Linked DNA regions of Oryctolagus cuniculus. The protein of the gene in region 7 interacts with the protein of the main gene of each other region in a pairwise test. Links are inferred from orthologs where the notes say so. Each region holds a gene or a part of one and is shown on either strand. Other genes may lie near its edges. The genes, in order: METTL17, CKS1B, MMAB, C16H19orf44, KIFC3, LMO1 and CBY2.

What was found.
Region 1: the proteins of CBY2 (region 7) and METTL17 interact in binary tests that used the Homo sapiens proteins (3 or more experiments, as listed by UniProt). The link is inferred for Oryctolagus cuniculus from reciprocal best matches to the Homo sapiens genes CBY2 and METTL17.
Region 2: the proteins of CBY2 (region 7) and CKS1B interact in binary tests that used the Homo sapiens proteins (3 or more experiments, as listed by UniProt). The two-hybrid records come from large-scale screens. The link is inferred for Oryctolagus cuniculus from reciprocal best matches to the Homo sapiens genes CBY2 and CKS1B.
Region 3: the proteins of CBY2 (region 7) and MMAB interact in binary tests that used the Homo sapiens proteins (3 or more experiments, as listed by UniProt). The two-hybrid records come from large-scale screens. The link is inferred for Oryctolagus cuniculus from reciprocal best matches to the Homo sapiens genes CBY2 and MMAB.
Region 4: the proteins of CBY2 (region 7) and C16H19orf44 interact in binary tests that used the Homo sapiens proteins (3 or more experiments, as listed by UniProt). The two-hybrid records come from large-scale screens. The link is inferred for Oryctolagus cuniculus from reciprocal best matches to the Homo sapiens genes CBY2 and C19orf44.
Region 5: the proteins of CBY2 (region 7) and KIFC3 interact in binary tests that used the Homo sapiens proteins (3 or more experiments, as listed by UniProt). The two-hybrid records come from large-scale screens. The link is inferred for Oryctolagus cuniculus from reciprocal best matches to the Homo sapiens genes CBY2 and KIFC3.
Region 6: the proteins of CBY2 (region 7) and LMO1 interact in binary tests that used the Homo sapiens proteins (3 or more experiments, as listed by UniProt). The two-hybrid records come from large-scale screens. The link is inferred for Oryctolagus cuniculus from reciprocal best matches to the Homo sapiens genes CBY2 and LMO1.

Annotation. Positions count from the first base shown.
Region 1 is NC_091443.1:53,913,165-53,917,322, forward strand, and holds the start of METTL17 (ribosome assembly protein METTL17, mitochondrial), read right to left. Parts: upstream 2,801-4,158; 5' UTR 2,724-2,800; coding exon 2,643-2,723; intron 2,490-2,642; coding exon 2,336-2,489; intron 2,247-2,335; coding exon 2,112-2,246; intron 1,018-2,111; coding exon 936-1,017; intron 712-935; coding exon 630-711; intron 290-629; coding exon 216-289; intron 1-215. UniProt on the Homo sapiens protein: Mitochondrial ribosome (mitoribosome) assembly factor. Binds at the interface of the head and body domains of the mitochondrial small ribosomal subunit (mt-SSU), occluding the mRNA channel and preventing compaction of the head domain towards the body.
Region 2 is NC_091438.1:43,534,876-43,538,941, reverse strand, and holds the start of CKS1B (cyclin-dependent kinases regulatory subunit 1), read left to right. Parts: upstream 1-1,266; 5' UTR 1,267-1,531; coding exon 1,532-1,590; intron 1,591-4,066.
Region 3 is NC_091452.1:18,547,983-18,552,007, forward strand, and holds the start of MMAB (corrinoid adenosyltransferase MMAB), read right to left. Parts: upstream 2,801-4,025; 5' UTR 2,719-2,800; coding exon 2,603-2,718; intron 1,106-2,602; coding exon 1,044-1,105; intron 1-1,043. Other genes in the region: MVK (mevalonate kinase), read left to right, coding at 3,070-3,095, 3,866-4,025. UniProt on the Homo sapiens protein: Converts cob(I)alamin to adenosylcobalamin (adenosylcob(III)alamin), a coenzyme for methylmalonyl-CoA mutase, therefore participates in the final step of the vitamin B12 conversion.
Region 4 is NC_091447.1:64,879,808-64,883,949, reverse strand, and holds the start of C16H19orf44 (uncharacterized protein C19orf44 homolog), read right to left. Parts: upstream 2,801-4,142; 5' UTR 2,662-2,800; intron 1-2,661. Other genes in the region: CALR3 (calreticulin-3), read left to right, coding at 3,015-3,105, 3,190-3,291.
Region 5 is NC_091449.1:41,227,184-41,231,007, reverse strand, and holds the end of KIFC3 (kinesin-like protein KIFC3), read left to right. Parts: intron 1-139; coding exon 140-270; intron 271-566; coding exon 567-690; intron 691-1,159; coding exon 1,160-1,289; intron 1,290-1,370; coding exon 1,371-1,600; intron 1,601-1,793; coding exon 1,794-1,928; intron 1,929-2,238; coding exon 2,239-2,347; intron 2,348-2,743; coding exon of another isoform or gene 2,744-2,748; exon of another isoform or gene 2,749-2,771; intron 2,772-2,953; coding exon 2,954-2,979; 3' UTR 2,980-3,324; downstream 3,325-3,824. UniProt on the Homo sapiens protein: Minus-end microtubule-dependent motor protein. Involved in apically targeted transport. Required for zonula adherens maintenance.
Region 6 is NC_091432.1:57,917,141-57,921,094, forward strand, and holds the start of LMO1 (rhombotin-1), read left to right. Parts: upstream 1-1,154; 5' UTR 1,155-1,259; coding exon of another isoform or gene 1,260-1,281; intron 1,282-1,389; exon of another isoform or gene 1,390-1,510; intron 1,511-3,954. UniProt on the Homo sapiens protein: May be involved in gene regulation within neural lineage cells potentially by direct DNA binding or by binding to other transcription factors.
Region 7 is NC_091440.1:64,764,359-64,768,402, reverse strand, and holds the start of CBY2 (protein chibby homolog 2), read right to left. Parts: upstream 2,801-4,044; 5' UTR 2,700-2,800; coding exon 2,625-2,699; intron 2,347-2,624; coding exon 2,266-2,346; intron 1,258-2,265; exon of another isoform or gene 1,243-1,257; coding exon of another isoform or gene 1,129-1,242; intron 1-1,128.

The DNA.
Region 1 (4,158 bases), on a different chromosome or scaffold from region 7:
TTCAGATATGGGTCTTTTTTCACTATGATACTTCTTTTAAATCCTGGCCCTAACCCATATACCTTCTTCTGCCTCGCCTAATCGGAGAGAAGAAACATTCTAGGTTCTCAACTTTCCTATTTTTCCTGTGGTTTTTCAAGTTCTTGATACTGGATTGGTGTTAAGTGTGGCCTTCTAGAACTAGACTTGAGAAAGGGATGAAGCAAGTTACTCACCAGGTGACAGAGCCAGTACCCGAGCCAAAGTCCATTAAGGTTTGTGGCTGAAACTCTGGAATTCGAGTTCGGATCTGGAGAAACACACAACACCCCACAGTATGGTAAGCAGATACTTATTTAGTGCCTTAGTAAATATGAATTAGGGGACTATGACAGAGGAAGAAAGATGTGAACACATTCTGAGATTCAACATAAACACTTAACAACAAGCTCCTAAAATAGTGGTTCTGAACCTTTCTTGGGTCACAGAATCCTTTTACAGGACAAGAGAACTTTAAGAAAGAAAGAAAAAAAAAAAGCAAAGCATAAAAGCCTACGCAGCACCCTAAGAATCCCTACCGTACAGACTACATTATGAATCAATAAGGGAACAGCAGGTAAGAGCGTTCAAGTTAGACACAGATTTTTCACCTCATGGAATGCCCTGGAGACTGCCGCGAAGCCACCATCCAGTCTCGCTGCCATATACACCAGGCTCAGTCCTTCATTGTAGCTGCACAAAAATCAGAGTCACACCTGCTGACCATTGCGAGGAAATAAGATCTTGGAAAGGGCTCTTCCACTTTAGCTTTTCACTCCCCAGGGCAGAGTGGTCCTGGGGATCACTATCACTCAGGCACTTTTTCAAACACTGCATTGATCATGCAATTGTGCGGCTCCATTCTCCTTTTCAAGTCCAACTTTTCTTCCTTCTGCATGTTTTCTAGTCCCCCTCACCTCAGTTCTTGCCAATGGTAGGTGGTTTTGCGCAGGGCATGTAGCACTGCTCCACGAAGCTTTTCTTCTGTCTGGGATGAGTCTGCGGTGAGAACAAGGACTGGAAGTGAGGACCTAAGGAGAACAGAGACCAGATCCAATATTTAATTCACTGCCCTCCCGGTTCTCCCCTCTCCCACTGGAAAAGCCTCAAAGCTCAAGAAAGCAGCCAAACCTAGAGAAAAATTTCAGCTAAGGATAATCACCACCAGCACCCCTAGAGTGTATGAGATAGTATTTGCCTCCAACAGCAGTATATTCAACTTAACTGACCCTACCCAACAAATTTTTTTCTATAATAAAGGAAAATACAATTTAGATTTAAAGGATAAGAGAAGGACAATTATTTTGTGGATTTCCTCACTTCCCCAAAACTTAAGACTGTGACATCTTGAATGTTCCTATAGGTGGAAAAGGGACTCTATTGTGTTTGGCAAGTATGTACTAAATGCCCATTCAGAGCCAGATTGTGGGGGGTGTAGGGGACACAAGATAAATAAAAGGTCTGTAAGACGAAGGAGCTCACAACCGTGAATATATTACATGTATTCTCCAATCCCAGAGGTTTTCAGCATTAGGCAGTTAACTTTACAGGGACTTTCACCTTAATAAGAATGGGCCAGCGCTGCGGCTCAATAGGCTAATCCTCCACCTAGCGGTGCCGGCACACCGGGTTCTAGTCCCGGTTGCCCCTCTTCCAGGCCAGCTCTCTGCTGTGGCCAAGGAGTGCAGTGGAGGATGGCCCAAGTCCTTGGGCCCTGCACCCCATGGGAGACCAGGAGAAGCACCTGGCTCCTGCCTTCGGATCAGCGCCGTGCGCCGGCCACAGTGGCCGTTGGAGGGTGAACCAACGGCAAAAGGAAGACCTTTCTCTCTCTCTTTCTCACTATCCACTCTGCCTGTCAAAAAAAAAAAAAAAAAAAAGTAGATGGTCCCAACTGGGATCCAGATTTCAATTGCCATACTCTGTCCCTTCCTCACGTCCCAAGGGTAGTCTCTGGAACAAATCTATCTTCCAGTAAGGTGGAAAGTCAAATAAGAAACTCCAATATCTATTTGAGAGACTGTAAAATTATCTCTTGCACTTCATTCCCCAGTTTCAATCCGGCCTAATCTTTCATCAGTCTTCAATCCTACCTGCGTTTTCCAGGAACTTTTTCTCCAGACTCACAGCCCGTCTTTGTAGCTCCTCAGGTTCTACGGGCAAGTGTCGGCTCCAGAGATAATTGGTCAGTGCTTGCACATGCTTCTCCACATTGGGCACTGCGTTCTCTGGAGGCCAGAGATGAAAAGCAGAATTACCTGTGTGCAAAGGCCCATTTCTTTTTCTCCTCGGATACCCCTTTCCCGCCGTTACTTACGGAGTAGCAGTAGCTGGGCGGCGTCAGCCAGTGCCTGTGGCAGTTGCACGCACGGCAGACGTAGGATGCCAGGGTGCCGACGGTGAGGCTTCTTCCCCAGAAAATCGGACTTGTTATCTACCTGACTCACGCCGCGAACAAGGGCCGCCAGCGCCTGGAAGCCGAGAAAGGAAAGCTGGGTGCCAGCCACAAAGGAAGACTGAGGGCTCTCAATTAAAGGAAGCGGCTGCCAAACAGCTCCTTCTTGGAGCGCAGCTGTCTCTAGGGTCCCAGAGCTTCTTCGGGAGCAGAGAAAGTAGGTACTCACCCGGGACTGGGGGGCCATTCGAAGCCCGCGGCGCCATCTGCCCAATATCGAGGGCAACCTCTTTCCCGACGCAGCCGCCATGCCTTCGCAGGCGAACCGGAAACAGAAACGAAAGTGACCCTCAGCTCCCAACGACGCGCGGAACTTCCTCCGGGATTTCGCTCGAGACAGCATCAACCAATGAGAAGAAGGAGTGCTCATTAGTAGCCAATAAGCAGTCGATATGTAAATCTACTCGCGGCGGAAGCCGTTCGTGGGCGGGACTTGGAAGTCAGGTCCGACCTGATCGGCGGAAAGGGGGTGCTGCAGAGCCCGAAATTGAGGGGGCGGGGCATGAGGGACGGAGGCGGGCTTTCGGCTGTCAAAATCTGGTTGCTTTTCTCCCTGTAGAACTGAATCTGGAGTTGTTTTCCTCTGTGAACCGGAGAATGCAGTAATGAAAAGGTGAGGAAACCAGATTTAAACTACTAAAGGTAGTAAATTAATAATTTAGTTAACAGTTTAATTAGTTGTCAGTTTCTCGTCAGTTAGCAATAAGCTAACGCTAACGCTTGCTGAGAACGCCCACATGCTAGGTAATGTGCTAGGAACTTCTCCTTGGGGTCTGTTGGGAAGTCAGCATCCCATATCAGAGTTCCTGGGTTCCGCATTCCAGTTTCTTGCTGGTGCACACCCTGCTAGGCAGCAGGTGATGGCCCAAGTCCTCGGGTCCCTGTCACGTAGGGGACCCGGGTTAAATGACCAGTCCCTGACTTAGGCTTGGCTTCACCCCTGCTGTTGCTGGGATTTGAGGAGTGAATCAACAGGAGATTCTCTCTCTGTGTTTAAAAATAAATTTTCAAAATTAAGGAAGAAAATCCTTCTATGTAATCTAGTTCCTACCAAGGCATATCCTGCTGTCAGCCCCATTTTGCACTTGAGGAAAGTGAGACTTCTAATGGTTAAATATGTGCAAGATCACAATTTTTTTTAAAGATTTATTTTATTTATTTGAAAGAGTTACAGAGAGAGGTAGAGGCTGAGAGGGAGGTCTTCCATCCGCTGGTTCATTCCCCAGACGACTGCAACGGTCAGAGCTGCCCCGATCTGAAGCCAGGATCCAGGAGCTTCTTCTGAGTCTCCCACAGGGGTTCGTTCAGGAGCCCAAGGACTTGGGCCATCTTGTACGGCTTTCCCAGGGCATAGCAGAGAGCTGGATGGGAAGGGGAGCAACCAGTACTAGAACTGGGGCCCATATGGGATGCCGGTGCTTCAGGCCAGGGCTTTAACCCGCTGTGCCATAGTGCCGGCCCCTGAGATCACAAATCTTGTTAGGTGACAGCTAGTTTAACACTGATTTCATTTTTACACAATATGCTATACCCCATATTGTTGGTGGTTGGGGCACAAGTTAGTTAACTTTATGCTAAGTGTTTGGAGGTGTTAGCATGTAACACTAAAAAGCTTACTGTGCCGTAAACTCTTGATATCTGTAGCAAAGGTCCATCCTTACTCTGCTGGGATAGAAGTCTAGTGA
Region 2 (4,066 bases), on a different chromosome or scaffold from region 7:
TTTCCAGCAGGGAAGGCAGGACAAGTGGAGCCAGGAGGAATGCCCAGACAAGAATTTTGGCTGGGGGTGCGGGGGATGGAGCCAAACAAGTAGAGGCTGAGGAGTCCCTTAAAAGAAAAAAGAAAAAAAAACAGGATACAAATCCCTAACCCCATTGCAAACCACCGTTTTCTGGTAGTACAAAGTTCTCTCTCCTGTCACGTCCTCAAGCCACACATCAGCAAATCCACGGCCCTGTCTAGCCACAGCCTCAACCTACAGCTGTTTCTGCGGTGGGCTGGGAAACTATGAGCAAGCCTCTGTCCCGTCCTCGGGCCAAACCCCAAGCCCAGGCCCACCCTTGGGGGAGGATAAGGCTGCCTCTAATCTCACTCCTCAGAGCTCCCACCTAGTGGAGCGGGAAAGCCCTCGGGAAAACTGAGCCCAAGGCCCCAAGAGAGAAAGGACAGGAAACGTAAGCAGGTGGAGCTTCTGAGACTGAGGAAACTGGGGTGATGACTTGGGTGCCACCCGGATCGAGTTCCTTAGGGGGCGTGGCCCTCTAGGATGCGCAGCAGACTTCCAGGAGATGAGGCTCCGGGACAATCGGACGTGGATTGCGGAAGGGGCGGGGCTTCTATGGGCGGGGCCTATCGAGGGGCGTGGCCTCAGTGAATTCGAATCGTTCTTTCAAGAGCAGAGCTTTGCCCTTTTGGGAGATAGGATCTTTGACAGACAGGAGTTAGCGGAGAATCGTCGCGAGGAGGAGGCGGAGTTTGGAAGAACTGGGAGGACTAACGAAGCGTTTCTTGTGGAGCTGGAAGCATGTCTGGGGGTGGGACTTCCAGGAAAACTGGGCTACAGGGAGGGGTCGGAGACAATAAATTTAAAAACTGGGGTTCAGGGAGCCCCCTGAAGTTGGGAGGTGGGACTTCCGGAGAGGGGGTCTCAGGGGCGGGACTTAGCAGTGAAGACCGGAAGTGGGGTCCCGGGAGAGGGGTTCCGGGGTGGAGGAGTGGGTTGCCTAAAGAGAAAAAAAAAAGTGAAAACTCACCAGGGCCTCATGGGGTCTCCGCACCGCGCCGCGGGCCGATTTGGTTCCGGATCACGCCACTGCCTGCTTAGGTCGCCGCTCCAACTTTCTCCCCGGCCCGGCCTCCCTGGAGAAACTTTATTACACTCACTTCCGGCCTCACTAACCCCTGACCCTCTACCTCACGGTCCCTCCTTCGCCCCGCCTAGTTTCCTGAATCAGCCAATGGTAGCGCGAAGGCGCTCACAGGCGCCGCGATAACCAATTAGAGGCCTAGCTCTGACCCAAGTTTGTGCTTGAGAAACGTAAGAAGCGCACTCCAATAAAGACTGGAGGAGAAGCAAATCCTAAGCCAATAGGAGGCTCGAAGGTGGAGCTGTCCCGCCTTGAGCCCAAAGGACCAATGGGAAGTGCGGGCGGTGTGTTTGAAAGCGAGGCCAAAGAGGGTGGGAGCGCGTGCTGCTGGGAGTTGTTTGGAGGTTGGCAGCGCGGGGCTGACGGCCCGCAGGCAGAGCGATCATGTCGCACAAACAGATTTACTATTCGGACAAGTACGACGACGAGGAGTTCGAGTACCGGTTAGTGCCGGCGGGGGGCCGTAGCGAGGTCGGGAGAAGAGAAGGCACGAGGAGTTGGTAGCGAGGATGGAGGCGACAGAGGGGGCGCATGCGCAGGAGACCAGCGGGGGTGGGTGTGAGGTTGGTGGAACGCGGAAGGCGCGTGCGCGGGGGGTGGCCGGCGCCCTGGAACAGTGGAGTCTGGAGTCAGCCCCCGGTTGAGGGGAGGCGTGATGAGTCCGACCACCTTCACCCTGTGGGTTTCTGGGTCTTGGTCTCAGCTTCACTGGGAGCTGCTGTGGAGTCTACTGGGTGAAGGTGTCAGCAGCGGAGCTGGCCTTTTCCTCGCGTTCTCACTGCGAGCGGTGAGAATGCTGAGGAAGTTAATGCTGCTTATTCTTGGGGAAGGAAAGAGGCGTGGTTGTCTGGCTTGTTTTAGGACGGGGGCGTCGAGGACCGGGCCGGGGATTAAAGTGCCGAGAAGCACTGAGAACCAGTGGAGTGCGTGCAGGTTTCACTTGTTTACTGGATGTGAGCATCTCACGGTCTTTAAAATTCTGAGCAAGAATCTGGCAGACGGCTGGAAGAAGGTGGTGGGCCTGCGGAGCCCGGGCCGTGAGCGGGGCGTGGTGGGGACACACAGCCTGGCAAGGAAGGGGCGGGGGCTCCCTGGAAGAGCCCTCAGGTGACACTGTAGCAACGAAGGGAAAAGTACAGCTTGACCAGAATTGTCCCGGAGGTACTGGATGGCCAGATGCCCAAGATGGGGGAGCGTTTGGGTTTGATAAGTTCTGAGCCCATAGGAATATTAGATTGGAAAAGGAGGAAAGACAGAATTCTACAAGTGTTGTCGTCACACTAATCTGTATCAATTGCAATATTTAAGACGGCTTGCGGCTTTTATCTTGCCTCCTGGAATGGAGGGGGAAATGGAAGCTTGGTTTTCTCGTGCCTTCCCTCAGCCCGGTTCGGGCTGTGTTTACAGACACATAACCAGCTTCAGGCTGGGATCATCCTAGATCCTTCTCAGACTCCATTCCTTTTATTTCCCTCAGCTGTTTTCCTCTACATCCGAACTAAGCGAACTCCAACTGTATGCTTATGACGTGTTTGCAGGGCTGGGAGACATCACTAGTTTCGTCCCTGGGAAGATGTAACTGTTAGTTTGGCAGTGGCGTTTTGGTTTAAGAGAGGGGTTTGTTTTGTTTTGTTTTAATGTACTGAGGCCAGATTTTGTGCCAGGGGCTGGTTAGAATGTCAGCTATTTTCAGACATTTAGACTAGAATTATCTCTTTAGGAAAAAAACCTCTGATAATTAGTGCTGAGGGAGCATTTAGGACATTTTTGTTGCGTGTGATGAAGTGTATCTGAATGAGTCCAGTTCCAGTCAGAGGAGTCATTTCTTTGCCATGGAGACTCATCCTTGGTCAGAGAATCAAGTCTCATGGCATGCCCCTTCAGAGTTAGGAAAATGAGATTCAAGATTTTTGAAAGAAGACTAACAGTTCACCTCTGTGATGTGTCTTCCACACCCCACTTTATCGATGTTAACATTTCATGCTCTTTGTAGGGCCTGTTACATTGTGGGTAATTACTAGAAAACCCTAAGATCCACAAAGGCACAGAAAATGAACATCAACAGTGCCTGGCACTCAGTCACTGGAAGTACTCATTCGCACTCTTTAATATACCCTTGCGAGGAGCCTTGTTGTGGCATAACGGGTTAAGGCGCTACCTACAATGCCATACGGGCACCAGTTCAAGTTCTGGCTGCTCCACTTCCAATCCAGCTCCCTGCTAGTGTGTCTGGGAAAGCAGCAGAGGATGGTCCAAGTCCCTGGGCCCCCGTACCTACATGGGAGACCCAGATGAATTTCCTGGCTTCTGGCTTCAGCCTGGCCCAGCTCTGCCTGTTTTGGCCTTTTGGGGAATAAACCAGCAGACAGAAAATATCTAACTTTGCATTTCAAATAAATAAAATTTAAAACTATATATATAGTCTTGTGAGAATTTTTATAACTTGGCCTATATTTTCAGCTGCCTCTACCCCACAATAAGATTGTATAAACTCAAAGGCCGACACTGTGGCGTAGCGGGTAAAGCCACTGCCTGCAGTGCCAGCATCCCATATGAGTGCCGGTTTGAGGCCTGGCTGCTCCACTTCTGATCCAGCTCTCTGCTGTGACTTGGGAAAGCAGTGGAAGATGACCCAAGTCCTTGGGCTCCTGCATCCATGTGGGAGACCTGGAAGAAGCTCCTGGCTTCAAGATTGGCACAGCTCTGGCCATTGCGGCCATCTGGAGAGTGAACCAGTGGATAGAAGAACTCTCTCTCTCTCTCTCTGCCTCTGCCTCTCTGTAACTCTGCCTTTCAAATAAATAAATCTTTAAAAAAAAAAAAAAAAAAAAGATTGTATAAACTCCAGAAGCCAGTTTCTCTTTTTCCTTTCTTGGCTTTATATACAGGCACTTGTCCAACAGGCTGTATCCAGTACTA
Region 3 (4,025 bases), on a different chromosome or scaffold from region 7:
CTTATTTCTTCTATTCTATTATTTCTATTTCTTATATACACTATCATGTTTTCAAATGATCAAAGTAATATATATGCATATGAAAAACAGAATGGAAGATAAGTATGTTGAATAAATAAAACCCTTCTACTCTTTACCCCCTCCCCCCAAAACTCAACTCAATCTCTCCCCCAGTCCAAGGTGTGATCTTCCAGATTATTATATACATAACTGAACAAATATGTATATATGTATGTGTATGTGTGTGTGTGTGTGTTAGACACATATACATGCTTTTTATCCAAATGGATTCAGTCTTTGGACTGTTTTGTAACCTACTTTTTTTTTTTTTTTTGACAGGCAGAGTTAGTGAGAGACAGAGACAGAGAGAAAGGTCTTCCTTCTGTTGGTTCACCCCCCCAAATGGCCAGTACGGCCGGCGCTGTGCCGATCCAGAGCCAGGAGTCAGGTGTTTCTCCTGGTCTCCCAAGCAGGTGCACTGCCTTCCTGGGCCACAGCAGAGAGCTGGACTGGAAGAGGAGCAACTGGGACTAGAACCCGGAGTGCTGGCGCCACAGGCAGAGGATTAGCCTAGTGAACCACGGCGCCAGCCTTGTAACCTACTTTTAAGAAGTTTGTTTTTTCACTTGATGGGCAGACAGACACAGAGAGAGAGCTGCCATTCACTGGTTCATTCTCCCAATGTTTGCGACAGTCAGGCCTGGAGCCAGGAGCTCCATCCAGACGTCCTAGGTGGCTGGCTGGACACCAGTCACTTGGGCCATCCCTGCTGCCTCCCGGGGTCTGCACAGCAGGAAGCTGGAGGCAGGAGCCAGCGATGGGGATCAAGCCCAGGTGCTCTGCCGGGGTGTGTGTGTGTGTGTGTGTGTGTGTGTGGCAGGTGTCCTAACTACTAAGCTAGAGGCCCGCCCCTGCCGTCCGTTTGCACGTCACGCCCCGGCTCTGTGGTGTCTGTTGAGATCTTCTGCGTGCTTTTCTGGAAGAACATCTAGGTGGGCTCTGCTACGTGGCTTTCCTTACACTTGTCACTGTCCCCGCCCTACCTTTGTCTCCCGTTTTGGTGTAAATCCTGGGGATCTTGGGTGTCTTCGGGGAAGCTTCTAGCCTAGTACGAAACAGACATGAGGACAGGTGAGTGGGGCTGGCTTACACCGAGGGGCTGCTCCCTCCCCGGCCTCTGCCACCCTCTGCCGGCATCTCTCCCCTCCATCCCTTCGAGTTGCGAACCCTTTGTGGGCCACTCGGGCCTTGCCCACGTCCATGCCTGCAGAGGGGCCGCTCAACAAGCACCCCCCGACGGACCACTCCCCAGAGCAATCACAGGCCTGCAATCCGGGAATTGTTCCAGGGCTCTCTCCACGACCTACTGCCTTCATCACCCTGCAGAGGACACAGCAGCTCACAGCACGGGACGCACCTGCCTGGGTCGGGAGGAAGGCAGGCGTAGGCCGGGGATCTGTGCCCAAGACTCCAGGGCCCAAAGTCTCACCTCCACCCTAACAAGTCAGGGCCTCGTGCAGGCCCAGAAACTAGAGCCACTCCCACCCTATGAGGCTTTGAGCACACACACTTGCAGAACTGCCAAAGCAGGGTTCAAAACTGGCTTCTGCGAACAGCCACCTGTTTGCAGGTGACTCCAAATTAAACTGCGGCATTACATGGTTAGTCAAAGGTTTAATGATTGCATCTATGAAATATGTCAGGGGCCAGTGCTGTGGTGTAGCTGGTAAAACCGCCACCTGCAGTGCTGGCATCCCATATGGGCGCTGGTCTGAGTCCTGGCTGCTCCACTTCCGATCCAGCTCTCTGCTATGGCCGGGGAAGGCAATGGAAGGCGGTGCAAATACTTGGGCCCCTGCACCCCCGTGGGAGACCAGAAAGAAGCTCCTGGCTCCTGGCTTTGAATCAGCCCAGCTCTGGCTTTTGTGGCCATTTGGAGAGTGAATCAGTGGCTGGAAGACCTCTCTCTCTTTCTCCCTCTCTCTCTCACTCTCAAATAAACAATAAATAAATCTTTTTTTAAAGAAATAGATCAATCCATAAAAATAATTTATTTTCATCTTATTTGGAAGGCAGAGAGAGCGCGCGCACGAGCTCCAATTCGCTGGTTCACGCCTTCAAACGCCCGCAGCAGCCAGGGCTGGGCCAGGCAGACGCCAGGAGCCAGGAGCCCCATCCAGCGGCAGGGACCCAAGTACCGGGGCCTTCTTCACCCGCTGCCCAGAGTGCGCTGGGGCAGGAAGCTGGAATTGGGAGCGGGGCCGAGACCCCAACCCAGGCGCTCTGATGTGCGATGCGGGCGTGCGAACTGCGTGAATCCATCCGACCCCTAATCCATCAGAGGTCCACCCACTGGGTCTGAGGTCTGGGCTGAGCGCATGGTGCAAGGCGGATGACGACAGCCCTAAGATGGCAGATGGCGCTGGCGTAGCCGTGTCCCGGCTCCCTGCCCTGATCAATGACAGCTGGCCTTCGTTCAGACTGGGGCAAGGAAAGCCTGGCCCCGGCCACGGTGACGTCAGCACACACCGGCGACGTCACGGCGGTGAGAGGACCCACGGCGACGTGCGGTGTGGAGCTACCCTCCCGGCCAGCCACTCACCTGTCCCCGTCCTCCACGCCCTGAGGGCCGCGGCTCTGGAAACGGGGACGCAGTAGCCTGCCGGTGCCAAGGCACCCGCGTAGGCCCAGGCGGCCTCCCAGGCTGCACACAGCCATGCTCCGGGCGACCTGACGGGGGCTGAACCCGTCAGGCTCCCGTCCAGGCCCTGGGAGGACCCCGCCTACAGCCGGCCGCGCCACCGTTCAGCTCCATTTTCCATTGGTTCGCGGCGCTCGCACCAGGGCGGGACACTCCCAACGATCTGTTTCCCATTGGTTTACAGAAGGAGTGGGGCGGGAGAACCCAGGGCGGCTCAGCCGCAATCTTTATTGGCCAATGCTCAAGCCAATTAGTAAAAGGATTCCCGTCTCGCGCGTCCTGATTGGTTGAGCGGAAGGACGCGGCCGCCTTCCCCCCGGAGCATCGGAACTCCGGGATGGAGGAGTGCCAGGGCCACTTGAGGTCCCATGCAGAGGGGTCGCGGTAGCTGCAGGTGAGAGGTCGCGGTCGCGGGGCCGGGTGGAGCGAGGTTCTGGGACCCGGAACGACCCGGGGCCTGGCGCCTAGGTTCTCTGCTGGAGTTTTCCTCAGCTCTCGAGAACCCGCGCTGAGGGGCGGAATCTGACAGGTGTGACTCGAGCTGCGGTGAGCGAGCGCCTACGAGACAGGGGTCACGGGAGCTCCGAGCTCCTAGTGCGCCTGAGCTGCCGCCTTCTGGGACCCCATCTTGCAGAACGGGGACTGACAGGTGTTTTCTGCAGCCTTGCTTTTGGCTGTGATGCGTTGGCAACACCGTCCGCGTCGGGGGGAGCGCGGGGTTCCTTCTGGTGCTCGGCTTCATTTAAAAGTCCACCTTCAGCAGTAGAAATAGTAGAAGCTGAAACCAAGAGGAGCCAGCCGGCGATGAGTAGCTGGCCGGAATCACGCGATTACAACGTGCCGGGCGCTGCTGAGTTTCCTTTGCGTGCATTTAGCCTTCCTAGCGACCCACTGGAGCAGGTGCACGTACTGTCCCCGGGTGGCAGGTGGGGAATCCGAGTTCATGGCCGATTCAGGTGCGTGAGCGGAGGCAGCATCCCTAGGAGTGGAGGGTCTGGGATTTGAACTCGGATCTCTCTGATGTATCGCGGGCGCAGAGCACGCGCTGGCGGGCAGCCGCCTTTTGGGTTTTAATGCTGGGCTTCACCCGGGCATTCTCTCGTCCTCTCCCTGCTGGTTCTGACACTGGGGATCCGGGCTCTGCCGCCTGGTTTTCACCTCCAGGAGTGCCAGGAGCCATGCTGTCGGAAGCCCTGCTGGTGTCTGCTCCGGGGAAAGTGATCCTCCACGGAGAACACGCCGTGGTCCACGGCAAGGTAGACGACCCCCCCTCGCCCCGGTGCCTTCTGGGATCGGGCAGCCCTTGTTCCTGGCGCGAGTCTCA
Region 4 (4,142 bases), on a different chromosome or scaffold from region 7:
TCCAGGATCTTTTTTTTTTTTTTTTAAAGATTTATTTATTTATTTGAAAGGCAGAGTTGGAGAGGCAGAGAGAGAGACGACTCCGGTGGGGACCCCTGTGAAGATCCTAGAAGCCAGGCCGGTGCTGCGCTGTAGCAGGTAAAGCCGCCACCTGCAGTGCCAGCATCCCATATGGGCGCTGGTTCGAGTCCCGGCTGCTCCACTTCCGATCCAGCTCTCTGCTATGGCCTGGGAAAGCAGTAGAAGATGGGCCAAGTCCTTGGGCCCCTGCACCTGCGTGGGAGACCTGGATGGAGCTCCTGGCTCCTGCCTGGCCCAACCCTGGCCACTGTGGCCATCTGGGGAGTGAACCAGCAGATGGAAGACCTCTCTCTGAGTCTTTCTCTCTTTCTGAAACTCTGCCTTTCAAGTAAATAAATAAGTAGCAGACTACTTGTGCTCCTCATCATCTATTCAAGGCCAGATAAACAGGTTTCCTGCCCTGAGCCCTTCAGTTATCCTCAGTCTCCACCAGTGACGTTATAAAACCAGACGATCTCTACAGTGGATCCAAAACAAGTAAAAACTACGGAATCAGGACAAACCCTAGAAATACAGACAGGGACACGAGGCGATTGAACACCTGGGTTGAATGGGTACAATTTTCTATACATGCTGTTACTAAAAGCAGCTGTTACACACGTGGGGCCAGATGGCCACGGGCACGAGTGGTCCCCTTCCCTCTCGCAGGGGACTCTGACCCAGGTGGAAAGGGTTTTGTGCTGTGCGGGGCGACAAGAGTACTCCCAGCCTGTGCCCGGATCCCGAGTACTCCCAGCCCGTGCCTGGATCCCGAGTGTCTCTGGGGAGTTGAACGGCAAGGATTCAGCTTTAAGCCTACCACGGGCTGCCGTCTCGGGGTATTTGGGAGGGACGAAAGCTCCGGGACCGGCTGCCATTGGGTTGCACAGGCACTTGTGCCTGGTCCAACTGGTGACCCCTTGCAGCCCGGCGTCCTATACCAGGGCTCCTCCACCCATCACGGAGGCTCTCCCAAGAGCTCCCAGAGGAGTCCCTAACACAATGCTGTAGCAAATGGACACAATTTATTAAAAAAAAAAAAAGTCAAGAGCTATTAGACCACGTTAATCCCAGAGTATAAAATGGAAATAACACCAAGTAGTATAAAGAAAAAGAGGAGGGATTTGCGAGAAATGATCATGGTGGATTTTCCTTTCATCTTTTTTTTTTTTTTTAATTTAAGATTTATTTATTTGAGAGGCAGAGCTACAGAGAGAGAGGGAGTGACACAGAGTTTTCCATCTGCTGGTTCGCTCCCCAAACAACAGCTCTGGCAACGGCCGGAGCTGGGCCAGGAGCTCCATCCGGGTCTCCCACATGAGTGGCAGGAGCCCAAGGACTTGGGCCATCCCTTAGCTGCTCTCCCAGGCGCATCAGCAGGGAGCTGGATGGGAAGCGGAGCAGCCGAGACTCGAACCAACATCCACAGGGGATGCCGGCGCAAGCCTACTACGCTCCATGGTGTATTTTCGGAAAAGACTTAGCCTTAGCAGCAAGTAGAATTGAGGGTTCGAGACCCAAAGTGGACCAGCCGCTGAGCTTGCCTTGCAAACCCCGCCCCACTTGTTATTTTGTAACTTTCACAAATTTTGTAATACGTAAACAGAGCTATTGCCCTGATGACATCACAGCGAAACTCCCCTCCCCCTGATCCTAGATCCGCCCAGCCGCACCCACCCATTCCCCCTCCCTCCCCCACCGAGCACCGCCCCCCAGCTTTCTCAGCCAATCAGGAGCTGGGGGAGGGAGCTGCGCGCCCGCGGGGGCGGGGCCGGCTTCCACCTGCCGGTGGGTGTCCATCAACACCTGTGCGTCTGTGTCCATCCTTGGTTGGTGGTTTCAGGTGGGCTGATGGCCCGCAGACTTTTTCAGAATCATAACGGGGGGTGGGCATTGTGGCCTGAGACCCGGCTGCTCCACTTCCGATCCAGCTCTCTGCTACGGCCTGGGAAGGCAGTGGAACATGGCCCAAGTCCTGCACCTGCGTGGGAGACCCGGAGGAAGCTCCTGGCTCCTGGCTGCAGCCCGGCCATTGCGGCCATCTGGGGAGCGAACCAGCGGATGGAAGTCCTCTCTCTGTATAACTCTGCCTTTCAAACGAATAAATAAATAAAAAAAAAAAAAAAAAAAAGACGGAGAATCCTGACGCACCTGCAGGCGCCAGACGCAAAGCCCCCTACCCCGTAACCGTCAGATTCCGTTTTTAAGAAATGTCCCTGAATAACAAATGTGCCTAAATAACGAACCTAGAGATTCCGAAAGCGGGCCGGGGGCCGGGGCGCACCGGGACCGCAGGCGATTTCAGGAGGAATTAAAAAAAAAAAAAAAAAAAAAAAAGTTGTAAAGTTGGCGTGTGGGGACGGGGGCACCACTCCAGCAGATAAAACACACCCTCATAAAGTTGCCAAAAAACAGACACCAGCCTGGTAAACCACAGACGCCGGTCTCTCCCGCCTTGGCGCCATCGGCACCGCATCCAGCCCCTGACCGGGAGCCTGAGGTGAGGCGCCGCCACACCAGCCCAGCCCTGAGGGGCGCCGCATTCCCCCGCAGCCCCTCTTAGGGAGCCAGCCCTGCAGCCGCCCCACCATTCCCGCTCACCTCCTCCCTCGCTGTCCATCCGCCGAGGCCCCGGGGCTGCAGCACCCGGGTCAGACTGAGGCCCAAGGGTCTGTTGCCCCGGGTAACCGCGCCAGAGTGGAAGGGACTACATTTCCCGAAGGACGCCGCGCGCCGCTGACCAATGACGCTCCAGGTGACCATCGCGATGCATCATGGGAGTAGTAGTTCTGAGGGCAGGCCCCGCGTGCTTTGCGCGCCCGGGACCAATGGTGGCCTCGGTGTCACAATCGCGAATTGTGACGGGAGTTGTAGTTTCGGGAACGGAGCCTGGCCAGCCGCAGAGACCGCCGGGAGCGAGGGGGCGGTTACAGGGAGTGGGCGCGCACGTTTCCATGGCCGGGGCTCGAGTCCACTTCTGGGCTATTTGCGCGCTGCGGGTGGCGCTGGCCACCGTCTACTTCCAGGAGGAATTTCTAGACGGAGGTGAAGGGCCGACGGTCCCGCACTCTTCCCCGGGACCCGGATGAACGAGTTCCTGCTGTAACCCGTGTTGTTTCCCCTCTGCAGAACGCTGGCGCAACCGATGGGTGCAGTCCACCAATAATTCCCAATTTGGGCATTTTAGACTCTCGTCGGGGAAGTTTTATGGTCATAAAGAAAAAGACAAAGGTTAGTGTAGCGTCAGGGAGTGGGGGGCCACCTCGTAGCGACGGTGTCCAGGTAGGTTGGGGGGGTCACATCCGGGGGGCTTTGGCTCGGGGAGGCCAGCACCGTGTGCTGCCTGTTGCAAGTAGCTGCGGTCCGAAAGCAGGAGCTTAAAAAATAATAATAAACAGTCTTCCCACGGGGGTGGTGCGGTGGCAAGGGACCCAACTGCTTGGGTCATCCCCGGGTCTGCATTAGCAGGAAGTGGGGTCCAGAGTTGGGTCCCAACCGCCTAGACCCCATGCCCACCCCACGCCGCCCCTCAATAAGTTTGTTTTTGAGTTGGAGGCATCGAGGAGACCCAGTGAAGGAACCGGTCATCCAAGGACCAGGGCACCCAGGCGCAGCACACGGCCTTGTTCTCTTGTAGGGTTTTGAGGGGGCCCATCCCCCCATCAGGGTCTCTGCACCGCTGGCCCACCCCCGCCCCATTCCTGACACGCGTGATCCCAAGGACCGGCCTCCACCCTGGCTTCTTGGGGCTGATCTGTCGTCTTGGTGCACAGCCAACGAGCTGGGAATGGTTTGGGACATTTTGGTATAGGCGGGGGAGAAGAGGAAAGGTGGGTGGTGGTTTATAACCCATAAAAATGATGGAAAAGTCGACGAAATACGGGCGAGGTTGAGACAGGAACCGAATGGCCCAGGAGGTCGCAGATATGTTCGCTCTCTGGCCTTGGAGAAAACGTCTGTGGGCCCTTGGATGTAGGGTTGGAGGGGGAAGGAGGCAGCAGGTGCATGTTGGCTAAGGAGCACCAAGATGGAAGGTTCTAGCGCCCCCACCGCACCGCGGGGTGGTCCACACTTCACCGTAG
Region 5 (3,824 bases), on a different chromosome or scaffold from region 7:
GCAGGCAGGGAGGTGCTCTGGGTAGGGAGGCTCCCCTGGAGTGGTGGCCGAGGGGCTTAGGGGCAGCAGATGCCACGTGAGCATGGCACAGCCCCCCCCCCCCGAGAGGCCTGGCTCACGGGGCCCTTTCCTTCTTTAGGGAACCCCCGAGAACCCTGGCATCAACCAGCGGGCACTGCAGCTGCTCTTCTCCGAGGTGCAGGAGAAGGCGTCCGACTGGGAGTACAACATCACCGTCAGCGCCGCCGAGATCTACAACGAGGTCCTCAGGTGCAGGCGCCAGCCCCACAGGCGGCTGTGGGCACCGCTGGGGACTGGACGAGAGGGACTGTGGAGGGGGGCTCTCCTTGTGGGCTGCAGGGGCAGTGGTGCACAGCAGACAGCAGCTGAGGCTCTGCCCACAGAGCTGCTCACTGTGGAGGCAGGAATGGCGCCATCTACAGGACTCTTGGGGAACAGCAGAGTGCAAGGGAGCAGCTGGAGGAGCAGGGATCTAGGTGGGGAGCTAGGAGAGGCCTCACCTGGGAGGAAGGAGTAACCGCCCTCCCCCGGCCCCGCCCCTCCAGGGACCTGCTGGGGAAGGAGCCTCAGGAGAAGCTGGAGATCCGGCTGTGCCCAGATGGCAGTGGGCAGCTGTATGTGCCAGGACTGACCGAGTTCCGGGTGCAGAGTGTGGACGACATCAACAAGGTGTGTGGCTGGGGGGCTCTGGGGGAAATGCTGGGGAGACCCTGGGCCCACGCAGAGCTGCTGTGGACCAGGACGAAGCCAGGTTCCACGGCAGCTTCTGCCCTGCCCTGTGTGACTCGGGCCTGCCCCTGTCTGCTCTGAGCCTGTTTGCTCCTCTCCGGTGTGGAAGGGCGGGCGTCTGCGGCAGTGATGTCCACGTGCCATAGCAGTTTCCAGGCCCGATTGCTCTGCTTCCCCTCCACTTCCCTGGTAATGTGGCTCCTGAGAGCAGCAGGCGATGGCTCAAGTACTTGGGTCCTTAGTTCGCCCCTGGGAGACCTGCGTTGAGTTCCAGGCTCCTGGCTTTGGCCTGGCCCTGCCCTGGCTGTTGTGGGCATTGAGGGACCGATGTCCCTCAGCTGGGAGATGTCTGCGAGGGGCGTTGGGGCCAGGGCGATTCCGAAGACCTGTTCTGAACCCTGCGCCCCAGGTGTTTGAGTTCGGCCACACCAACCGCACGACGGAGTTCACCAACCTGAATGAGCACAGCTCCCGCTCGCACGCCCTGCTCATCGTGACGGTGCGGGGCACGGACTGCAGCACGGGCCTGCGCACCACGGGTGAGCGCTGGACCCTGGGCAGCCTGGGCGGAGGCCCCCCCGCGGCAGGCAGCCCTGACCTGGCTGGCACCCTCCCTGCAGGGAAGCTGAACCTGGTGGACCTGGCTGGCTCAGAGCGCGTGGGCAAGTCGGGAGCCGAGGGCAGCCGCCTGCGGGAGGCGCAGCACATCAACAAGTCGCTGTCGGCGCTGGGGGACGTCATTGCCGCCCTGCGCTCGCGCCAGGGCCACGTGCCCTTCCGCAACTCCAAGCTCACCTACCTGCTGCAGGACTCGCTCAGCGGCGACAGCAAGACCCTCATGGTGGTGCAGGTGGGCGCTCGTCATGGGCTGGCACCAAGACGCGTTCCGGGGCCCCCCCCCCCCCCCCCCGAGCACCACGCTCCTGAGTCAGTGATGTGTGTGCCTCGCACACCCTCCTCCCTCCCCTCCTCGGAATCACTGTCCCTCTGGTGCTACGGGGGTGGCTGGCTGGCCTGGGTGGGCTGACCACTCTGTTCCCCAGGTGTCCCCTGTGGAGAAAAACACCAGCGAGACGCTCTACTCGCTCAAGTTTGCCGAGCGGGTACGCTCTGTGGAGCTGGGCCCTGGGGCTCGGCGCACAGAGCTGGGGTCCTGGTCCAGCCAGGAGCATCTGGAGGTAAGGGAACCACCCCAGGCCCATCTCGGGCTGGCCCGGGGCAGGAGGGGCGTGAGCAGCAGGAAGGGGCTTAGGGGACCGACTGGGCCTATGGGTGAAGGGGGTGGAGCTAGAACGAACCCAGATGCCGCAGCTCTTTAGTCCAGATCTGTCATGGTCAGGGAGGCCTGCAGGCCTGGCACACGGAGTACCAGCGTCTCACTTAACGAGAGCCCGTCTCAGGGAGCATAAGAGTTAATACGCCCATTCACAGATGAGGAAACTGAGGTTTGGGGAGGGAGGCCCAGCCATTGTCCTCCTCCATTCACAGTGGGAGCCAGCTTGCCAGGCACCGCAGCCCTCAGCACGTGCCCACTCAGCCCCCGGCTCAGGGACCACGAGCCGTGCGGGCTCCATCCGAAGGAAGCTGCAGCCCTCGGGTAAGCCCCCAACCCTACCCCCTCCATCATCACAGCCCCCAGGTGCCCTACCTGGGTGGGCTTTTCTAGTCTCTGAACCTCTGTCACCCTGTCCCCTGCCCTGCAGCGTCGGGCACACAGCGCTGGGTCCACTTTACAAAAGGAGGGAGGGGCCGGTGTGAGGAGCAGCCCAGCCCTCCTGCTGCCTAACTGGGGCTGGCCGGGCTCAGGGAGCAGGCCAGGGACCCCTACCCTGGGCACAGAGAGGGCGGAGCCCACCTGTGTCCTGGAGAGGCGAGCCCCGGCACAGGTGCCAGTACCCACTGGAGGGCCGGCAAAGGGCTAGGGTTGGCAGGACCCCGTGGGGGCCTGGCCTGAGGCACGCCCCCAGTGAGACGCCTGTCGCTTTGATTTCAGCCTGAAGGCTGGGCTGCAGAGTCTCCAGGTGAGTGTGGGGCCAGCGGCCCAGCGCTGCACACCCGCCTGCCTGGGTGGCGGGGCTGGCTCTGTCCCCGCTGCCTGCTGTCTGTGTGCTTCTGCGGGCTCCCTCCTGCTCTCGCAGCACCGCTGTGGGCACCCCTGCCCGCTGCTGGCCCGCAGCTGACCTCCCCGCCTCCCCTCCCGCAGGGAAGTCGAGGCCCTTGCCTGTGTGATGGATGGACAGCCGGCCGTGCTCGCCGGCTCGCAGGAGACAGGGACGTCCCGGCCCCTCGCAGAGCAAGAAGCAGCGGCTCGGGCTCACCAGTGGCGCGGACGGCGTGAGCTGCAAGGGTGGGCTGGCCAGCTGCCCCCAGGCCCGCGGGGTCTCCCAGAAGGCACCGAGGGGCTCCAGCCACGTGTACATAGCATTCCCGGGGCGCGGGGCCTCAGCTGCTCCCCCCGGCGCCTGGCAGCAGGCACTCCAGCGTTCCCACCTCTCCCCCTCTGAAGTCCTATTTAAGAACTTTTGGAAGCGTAGCCATTTTTACTTCTTAAAATAAAAGCCTTTTTTTACACGAGTGTGGTCTGAAAGAGCTGGGCTGGCCAGCCCTCGGTCCAGCCGCAGGGGGTGTGGCCTGCTCACCCCCTCTGCCCAGGGTTCACAGGGGCCAGCCCCGCCCCTGGCTGCTGCAGCCATCCCACGGGTGTCTCCTCCACGCAATAGGTGGGAAACTGCAGGGTGCGGCTGGGGCTCCGCTCTCCCCCACTCCCCCTGCACCAGCCTGTGCTGAGTCCCAGCCCTGGGAACTTGTGCAGCGGGGAAGGGCAGTACAGAGCCGCCCTCAGCGGATGGGGCGACGGCGCTGGCCGTGGGCACCCCCTCACCTGGTGCGCAGCCATGGCGGGGTGGACCTGACTTAGCCCTTTGCTGCTGTGCCCTGCTGGTCAGACAGCCTGCAGCACCAGGGCTGGCAGTCCTGGGAGAGCCTGGGGGCCAGACAGTGCCCCTCCCCACGAGGAGAGCAGGCAAGAGTTACAAATTTAATAAAATTCACCTTATAAATTACAGTAGCAGCCC
Region 6 (3,954 bases), on a different chromosome or scaffold from region 7:
CAGCCACGGGCGACACCCCCACGCAGCCTTGAGACAGGAGGCCAGGCACTAGGCACAGGGTGGGGGAAGGGGGTGCCTGGGTGTCAAGCATTTGTGGTAATGGGAGTGGTGAGGACATTTAGTGGGGACGGTATTGGGAGGGGGATGGGATGGGGTTTTACAGCTGGGGAGTGGGGAAGGGCAAGGCTGAGCCAGTGTCCCGACAGGTGATGGGGGAACCCTGTGGCCCTCCCGATTCCACCCGGATCATTCTCGCGTGGTCTGCAGTCTCCCCAGAGGGTCTGAGCAGGCGGCCGGCAATGGCTGGGGCAGTAACGAAGAAAGAAAGGGGATCCCGTGGCGCGGGCCAGAATTGCCGCGGAGTCACAGCCGCACGGTCACAGCCACTCACATTCCTGTGCCGGGTCTCCAGGCCCCCAGGGACGCACCCAGCCCGCCGCGCTCCCACGCTCCTCCCGCGGCGCCCCCAGTCCCAGGCTTGGAGTCCACTCTCCCGCCGGCGCGGCCACAAGGCTGGCCGCTGCCCGTCCGGGGGCCCAGCTCGCCGCACGGCCCTCCCTCTGGCGTGCGGTCACACACGCACGCACACACAGCCCTCACACGCACACACTCTGGCTGTGCTTTTGTGTTTTGTCAGAATTAATGAGAAAAGTTCCCGTGCCCTGCGGGTAATTAGTGTCCTTGGAGTTAAATAAGCTAATGGCGGGCACCTCTGGCCCAAGCAATTATGTTTGTGTATTGAATAATTGATTCAAAGGGGGGAAGGGCCGCTAATCAGATCTGAGCATAATGAATTGATTTAATTAACAGGGGAATCTGAGGGGCCCTGGGAAATGCAGGCTTCACTCTGCTGAGGCGAGCGCGGCCGGTACGGAGAGAGAACGCGCGCCGCTCCGGCTCCGCTCCGCTCTGCTCCGGCTGAGGCTGCCGCTCCGGCTCCAGCCCGGCCCGCTCCGGCCCGGACAGCGGCTGCTCGCGCGGCCCCAGCGAGCCCGGCCGGGCAATTACGCCCGTGCGCCCGCCCCCGCGCCCGCCCGGAGCCGCGCCGCGCCCTCTCCCTCCTCCCGCGCTCCCTGCCCGCGGGGCTGCGCTCTGGGCGCCGCTCGGGCCGCCCCGGTCGGCGGCCGCGGCTCGCGGGGCGCGGAGCCCGCGAGGGGCCCGCAGGAGCAGCGCGGGCGGGCGGGCGGCGGCGGCTGGAGTGCGAGCCGCGCGCCCCTCGGCGTCCTGGGCCTGTGTCTAGCTGGAGTCGCCGGGCGACCATGGTGTTGGACCAGGAGGATGGTAGGTGCCTGGCGCGCGGTGCCATGCCGCGCGGCGCGTGGGGCATGGGGCGGGGGGGTGGGCGGGCGAGCTCTGTCCAGGCCATCCCGCTCAGCGGCAGCGGCCCCCGCGCCCGCCCCGGCTGCCTTGGGCCGCTTGGCCGCTTCCGGAAGCGCGGCGGCGGAGTGTGCGTTCGTGTGTGTCTGTGGAGGGTGCCGGGCGCAACCCCCGGGGTGGCTCCGCGGGACGGGTAAGTCTCATGGGCCAGCTGGAGCCCGCCGACCCCGCACGCTGTGGCCGAGAACTTTGCCGCTGGCTCTGACTGCCTCGCAGGCACCAGGAGCGCCTCTGCGACCCGCGCCGCGGGGACGCCGCAGTTCGAGCCAGTCCCAGGCCTCTGGGTGTCTGGTGGTCCCTCTGCCGCTCGCCGCTGGGGACGAGGGTGCAGTCTAAGCCCCGTGGTCTTGGGGCCCCTCAGGCCTGGGACTTCACAGCTGCGGGCCCCCAGCCAGGCACTTTGGGAGGGGCTGCCCTGGCTCGGGTAGAAGAGTGGGCCATAAAACTCCACCAAAACCAGGTTCAATCAGAGAGGCACGTTTGCCTCGGGCTGCTCAGTGGCCAGTCCCTGGTGGTCATTTTGTATCAGTAATCTTGTGTCTCTTCTCTTAAGGAGCTCCCCACCTCCAAACTAGTAAGCTTTGGGCTCACAAAGTCTTGGATCCACGCTGGGTCCATCTCACACCCTAGCCTCTGCTAGTCCCTTGGGAGCACCGGAAGCCCTGGTTATCCAGAGACGTCCCCAGGGTCTGGAGGATGCAGAGTTGTGGCAGAAGGACGGGAGACTGGGGAGAGACTCTGGCCACCTGGCCTTCCTTTCTGGCCCCTCTAGTCCCTGCCACCTCCCACAGTGACCAGCTGAACTACTTTGCCCAGGAGTGCCTGGATTTTAGCCCTTAAAGTCCTGCAAGGGAGGACACCCTCCGTCCCAGGGTACACCTGGACGGTTGGGCAGCCCACACCTGCACCTTTCCCAGGGCTGTTGTGTGGCTGCGGCTTGGCCTTCATCGAGGAGGAGGAGACGTGTGTTTTCTGGGGTGCAGATCTGGCGTAGGCCTCACCGGGGGCCTAAGAGTTGTGACCGCAGCCTTGGAGAAGGTCTGTCCGAGTTCTCCAGAAACCAGACAGAGAAAGCTTCCCCACTGTGCACCTCTGCACTCCCGCTGCTAGCAAGTGCTTGGGCACTGGCCGCTTTTAGGGGGCAGGGCAGCGTCTGAACTTGGCCTGCGGGCATCCTGGTTGCATTGCAGAGTCTGTACGGCCACTCTGTGCTGTCAGCTCTAGTACTCAAGAAAAGCAGTCCTTGTCACCTTGAATACCTCTCTCAGTATTACCTGTGAAGCCAACTTGTGACCCCGTCTTGTAGACAGTTGCACTGTGTCGGGAGCAGGGCCCTCAGGTGGAGGTACATCTGACAGCCTCCCCAGAAAGTTCTGGAATATCTGGTCTGCCTAGGCCCTCAGGCTCCGAGTCTCACCACCCCCCCCCCCGCCCCCAGTGCAGGAAGCCTTCCTGCCAGACACAAGGACAAACCGCAGTTCCCTGCACAGAAATGCATAAGACAACTAGTACCAGTGCTTTTCTCCTCACAGTAGTCAGGGTGCTGCTCACCTGCTGCCCCCCCCCCCCCCCGCACTGCTGTGCCCACAAGTTTTTTTCCCAGGGCATTCTGGAGCACTCTCGGCGTGCCAAAGTGTGAGCACACGCTCATCACCTGTGGAATGTGTTGGTGAAAACAGCCTCTCCCGGCCCCAGGGGGATCTCAGGATTCCACTCTGGAGTTACGGGCGTGTCCCCGGGTCTGGAGGCAGCTTGGATGGGGGTGAGCCCAGGGGTAGGAGTTACCTCTGGGCTGAGGAGGAGGAGGGATGGGATGAGTGAAGCTCCTGTCTGGCTCCGTCATCCCAGCAGGGCCCTTCCGGTGTCTGGAGACCCTCTGAGAGCTGGTGGGCAGCTCTGTAACCCAGTAGTGTAGGTCCCCCTTCAGGTCACAGGGGAGTGCCACCCTCCCACCTGGAGGTGCAGAGTCAGCCAGCCACCTGTGAGCACCAGTAGTCATCATAGCAGCTGCAGGCCCCTGCTGGCACGCCCACCCTGCTTCTGTGACACACTGCCTGCTACCCCAGGCCTCGGGCACAGGAGCCCCAACTCCCCAAAGGGATGCCAGCTGTGTGGCCGCTAATTGGGTAACCTTGGGGGCTGGCGTGAGCTGGAGCCAGCACAAAGACAGCCAAGCACCACACAAGGTGGGCATGGGGGGCAACTGGCCTTGGCTGAGTGAGGAGAAGCAGCCCTTGTGGAGTGAATGAGCCCTGGGAGCACGGAGGACAGCTGCCCCTTGCCTGCCTGTCCGGCCCCCAGCTCAGGCAGGGGCGCGGGGCTGGCACCACATGTGCCAGTGGCAGCCATGCCAGAGCCTCCCTCAGACCTCGAGGGCAGAGCTGTGGCGGCAGTGGCAGGGAGAGATCAAGCTTGCAGTCCTGAGGGACGGCGAGCCTGAGCAAAATGATATATTTAACATCAAATATACTCAAGGACTATTAGGATTAAGTATTCGAGATGAAGGGGAAAGCGAAACCCTCTGAGCTGCCGAGGAGGCATCTCATTAGAAGCAGCCGCTCGTCTCTCTTCTCGAAG
Region 7 (4,044 bases):
AAGACTTATAGAGCTAAGAGGTGACCTGGTGCAGCCAAGTGAGTATGGATATTGACCTGGTTCAAGATCCTGACTCCAACCCTACTATTACCTGAAGGGCTCTAGGAATTCCTGGTTCCCATACCTAGAAAATCTTACATTTGCGTGTCTTTGTGCTCAAAACATGATATGATCAATAGATCAATATTCAGTCAACACTTCTCCCCCTCTTTTCTCCTCTGCCAATGCTTACCTCCAATTGTGTGCACCATCTCATGTTGGGAGAGTTAGCAAACACATCATCTTTCTCACAGCACTAGTGGTGGTTTGCCCACTTCCTTCCTGCAGATGACTAGTCTACAGTATCCTGGAAGGTGCCTTCAACCTGCTTCCTGGTTGTGCTTCTTTGTCATGTGTACCCCTGAGGCCACATCTGTCCACATGGGGTACATGTGCCCAGATAATTGCTGAACATTTTCCTCACTGTACACCCACCCTGTCTTCCAACTGCCCAACAGCTGTACCAGGTCCTATAGCACAGAAAGTGGGTGGCCCCAGGACAAGCCAGGGACATAGTCTCAAGCCTCCTTTTCTCCTCCTTGATTGCTAGGATGTTTCTGGGAGTGGATAGGGGAAGTTGTGCTGGATATAGATAGAAGAATCTCTCCAATCTTTCTATCATGTGACCATCACTTATTTAAATCCTATTCCCACCCTCACTGTCACCTCCACCCCACCCTGGATTGGCATCTTCTACCCATCCTTTAACAATGGAAAGATTGAATTACACAGGCTATGAAGAATCAAAGGAGCAACACCGACCATCAAAAGGAATAGTGTCCAATGGAATTCCCTGTATACAACAGAAAGAATTGGACCTAGAAAGGTTCCTGTAGCTTATCATCATCCTGTCAAATGATCAGCAATGCTATATTCTGGCTAAGTCTCATGAGCTGAAACAGATAGAAAGTGTCTGTTACTTGCAGAGTTTTAAGGATAATGTGAAAACAAACATCCAGAATATTTTCTTGTCCTCTATTTGTGCCTCCTGCTGAACATACATGCCTAGATTGTTCAGTCACATACATAGAATGCCCACTGGTGACCCACCCTCCTACATGACTCTGGACAGAGCTGTCAGATAGTTACCTCTGCATTGGATCTCTCCATTCTACATTTCAACCCCTCTGACTGCATGCCCATGGTCTTCCAAAGGGGCCTTGAGTGACTCTGGGAGAAGCAAGGCCATGCCCTTTGTGACATAACAGCAGTAGAAACAATCCAATCAAGAGAACCCCACCAAGGAAACAGCCACTTGCAGGAGAAGACCTTAGAATCTCCAGCCTGTTGGCTGGTGCCGCAGCTCACTAGGCTAATCCTCCGCCTCGCGGCGCCGGCACACCAAGTTCTAGTCCTGGTAGGGGTGCTGGATTCTGTCCCGGTTGCCCCTCTTCCAGGCCAGCTCTCTGCTGTGGCCCGGGAGTGCAGTGGAGGATGGCCCAAGTGCTTGGCTCCCTGCACCCCACAGGAGACCAGGAGAAGCACCTGGCTCCTGCCATCGGATCAGCGCGGTGCGCTGGCCACAGCGCGCCAGCCACGGCGGCCATTGGAGAGTGAACCAACGGCAAAGGAAGACCTTTCTCTCTGTCTCTCTCACTGTCCACTCTGCCTGTAAAAAAAAAAAAAAAAAAAAAAAAAAAAAAAAAAAAAAAAAAATCCAGCCTGTCAGAACTGCACCTACACATTGTCCTAAAAAAACAAACAAGCAAAACAAACAAAACCATGCACGTATCCTTTATGCTCTCTCTTTGGTACACAGCAGGGCTTAATTCTATTGACATCTCCAAATGATACCTTAGCATCCAGTCAATGTGCTAGGTTTTCTCCTCATGGACTCATTCGTAAGCATTTGACCCCAAGCCCCAGGTCTACTTGTCCCCCTAGAAATCCAGAGTGCTAATACATCACCAAGCACCAAAGATCTCCCTTTGAGGATGAATATTTGATTGTTTTTTGTTTTTTTTTGTTTTCAGTCTAGCATAGAAACTTGAAATGTTAGGGTGGCCAGGTCATCTAATTCACACTCCTCGTATGAGAGAAGAGGAACCCAAGGCCCACAGAGGCCATGTTTCCTCCCCCAGGCACAGAATGGGTGGGTGGTCAAATGCACAACTAGAATCGGAGGCCTTGACTCTTCAGCTTACTCCACATCAGGCTGGAGTTTTGGAAGAGGAGTGTTATTCTGCCTTAAACGGGCAGATTTCATCCTTCTGTGATTAATCCTACCTGAGGCAGAACCACATTGATTGGGATTTCTAGGCTTTCAGATCTGGTATCTCGTTTTCTTGTAAAATTTGGCCTCGAGTGCTGTAGAAAAGAGAAAAGAGGAAAATTTCTGTTGCCCAACCCACCCTCTGGGCCTCCATTGCTCATCTGACAATTATAGGACTTTCTACTCATTTATTTGCTTCTTGTCAATTAGGTACATTATGAAAATCTGCATCTGCAAATGTGTGTGGACAATCTCTGATATTTTATTAAACAAATTCATACAGATACTATAGCTGATGTCTTTGAAGCACTGATTGCTAATATCTACATCCTTGTGTAAGACTACTGTTTCCCTCCCAAGCAAAAAGCCATACCAATGTGAGGTGCCAGGTATAGGTCCTGTGCAGAAGTTGGTCACCAAAACACTCAGAACATTCCAGAGGTGACATCACAAAACAATATGGTGTTCTGCAGGGCTCATGGTTTCTCTCTGAGCGTCACAGGTGGGAACGAAGCATCTGGCAGGTAGGAAGAGTTTTGCAGCATCTGTGACCACGTGGCTAAGTAGGGTCAGTGTGACACACAATACCCCAAACACCAGGCCCTGATTGGTCATCCCCACTGCCAGGCCGTCCTCTCTCCAGAAGGGGCATTATCTACTTGTAGTTGTATTGCTCAAGAAGAAATACCAACTGAATTCCCAGACCAAAGGAGGAAAGAGGGACTCAGGAGCTTTGTGGCACCACTTGATTCCCCAGGGCTGTCACCAGTGGACGCCCTGAAACCATCGACCTGGAGCGAGTGCCAGATCCCAGAGGTTAGGTGCTCAGTCCCACCAAGCTGCCTTCACCTCAGATGCCACTTGTACCATTGACTGATCAGCTATAAACCAGGAGTTCCATGACCCCTTCTTTGGCTTCAATAATTTGCAAGAATGGCTCACAGAACTCAAGAAAACACTTTACTTATGATGACCATTTTCTTATAAGGGGCACAACTCAGGAACACCAAATAGACGGGATGCACAGGGAAGGTATTGGGCATTGAGGGTGGTGTGGAGTGGCCGTGCCAGCCCTGGGCAGCCACTCTCCCAGCACGTCCACGTGTCCTCCCACCAGGAAACTCTCTGAACCCCACTGTTGAGGTTTCATTACACAGGCGTGGTTGTTTAAATCTCCAGCCCCTCCCCCCTTCCTAGAGGTAGGGGTTGGGGGGTGGTGATGAGAGTTTCCTCTTTTTAATCACATGGTCAGTTTTTCTGGCGGCAGCCCCCAGCCTTCAAGGGTTGCCTCATTAGCTGAAACTCAGGTGTGTTCCAAAGGGGCTCATTATGAATAACAAAAGACACAGAGGAAATGCCAAGGATTTTAGGAGCTCTGTGCCAGGAATCAAGGACAAAAGCAGAGTTTATTTTCTTATTATACCACGGAGGTAACAGCATCAAGACCACAATGCCCCATGCCCTGGCCTCACTTCGGGCAAATCATTCACCACTAGAGGCTGTTCATGGGAGCCTTTTCTTGTACCGTAAGCCAGTGGCACACCCCAACCCTACGTGCAGTAAGAAGGGAATGACGGACCAGAGGCAGCAGATCCTGAGACACCAGCCAGAACCACCTTTTTGAGTCCCCCACACCCAAATTTACAAGAAAGCTTTGCTTTAAGACCTAACATGCGGCCGGCGCCGTGGATCACTTGGCTAGTCCTCCACCTGCGGCGCCGGCACACCGGGTTCTAGTCCCCGTTGGGGCGCCAGTTCTGTCCCGGTTGCTTCTCTTACAGTCCAGCTCTCTG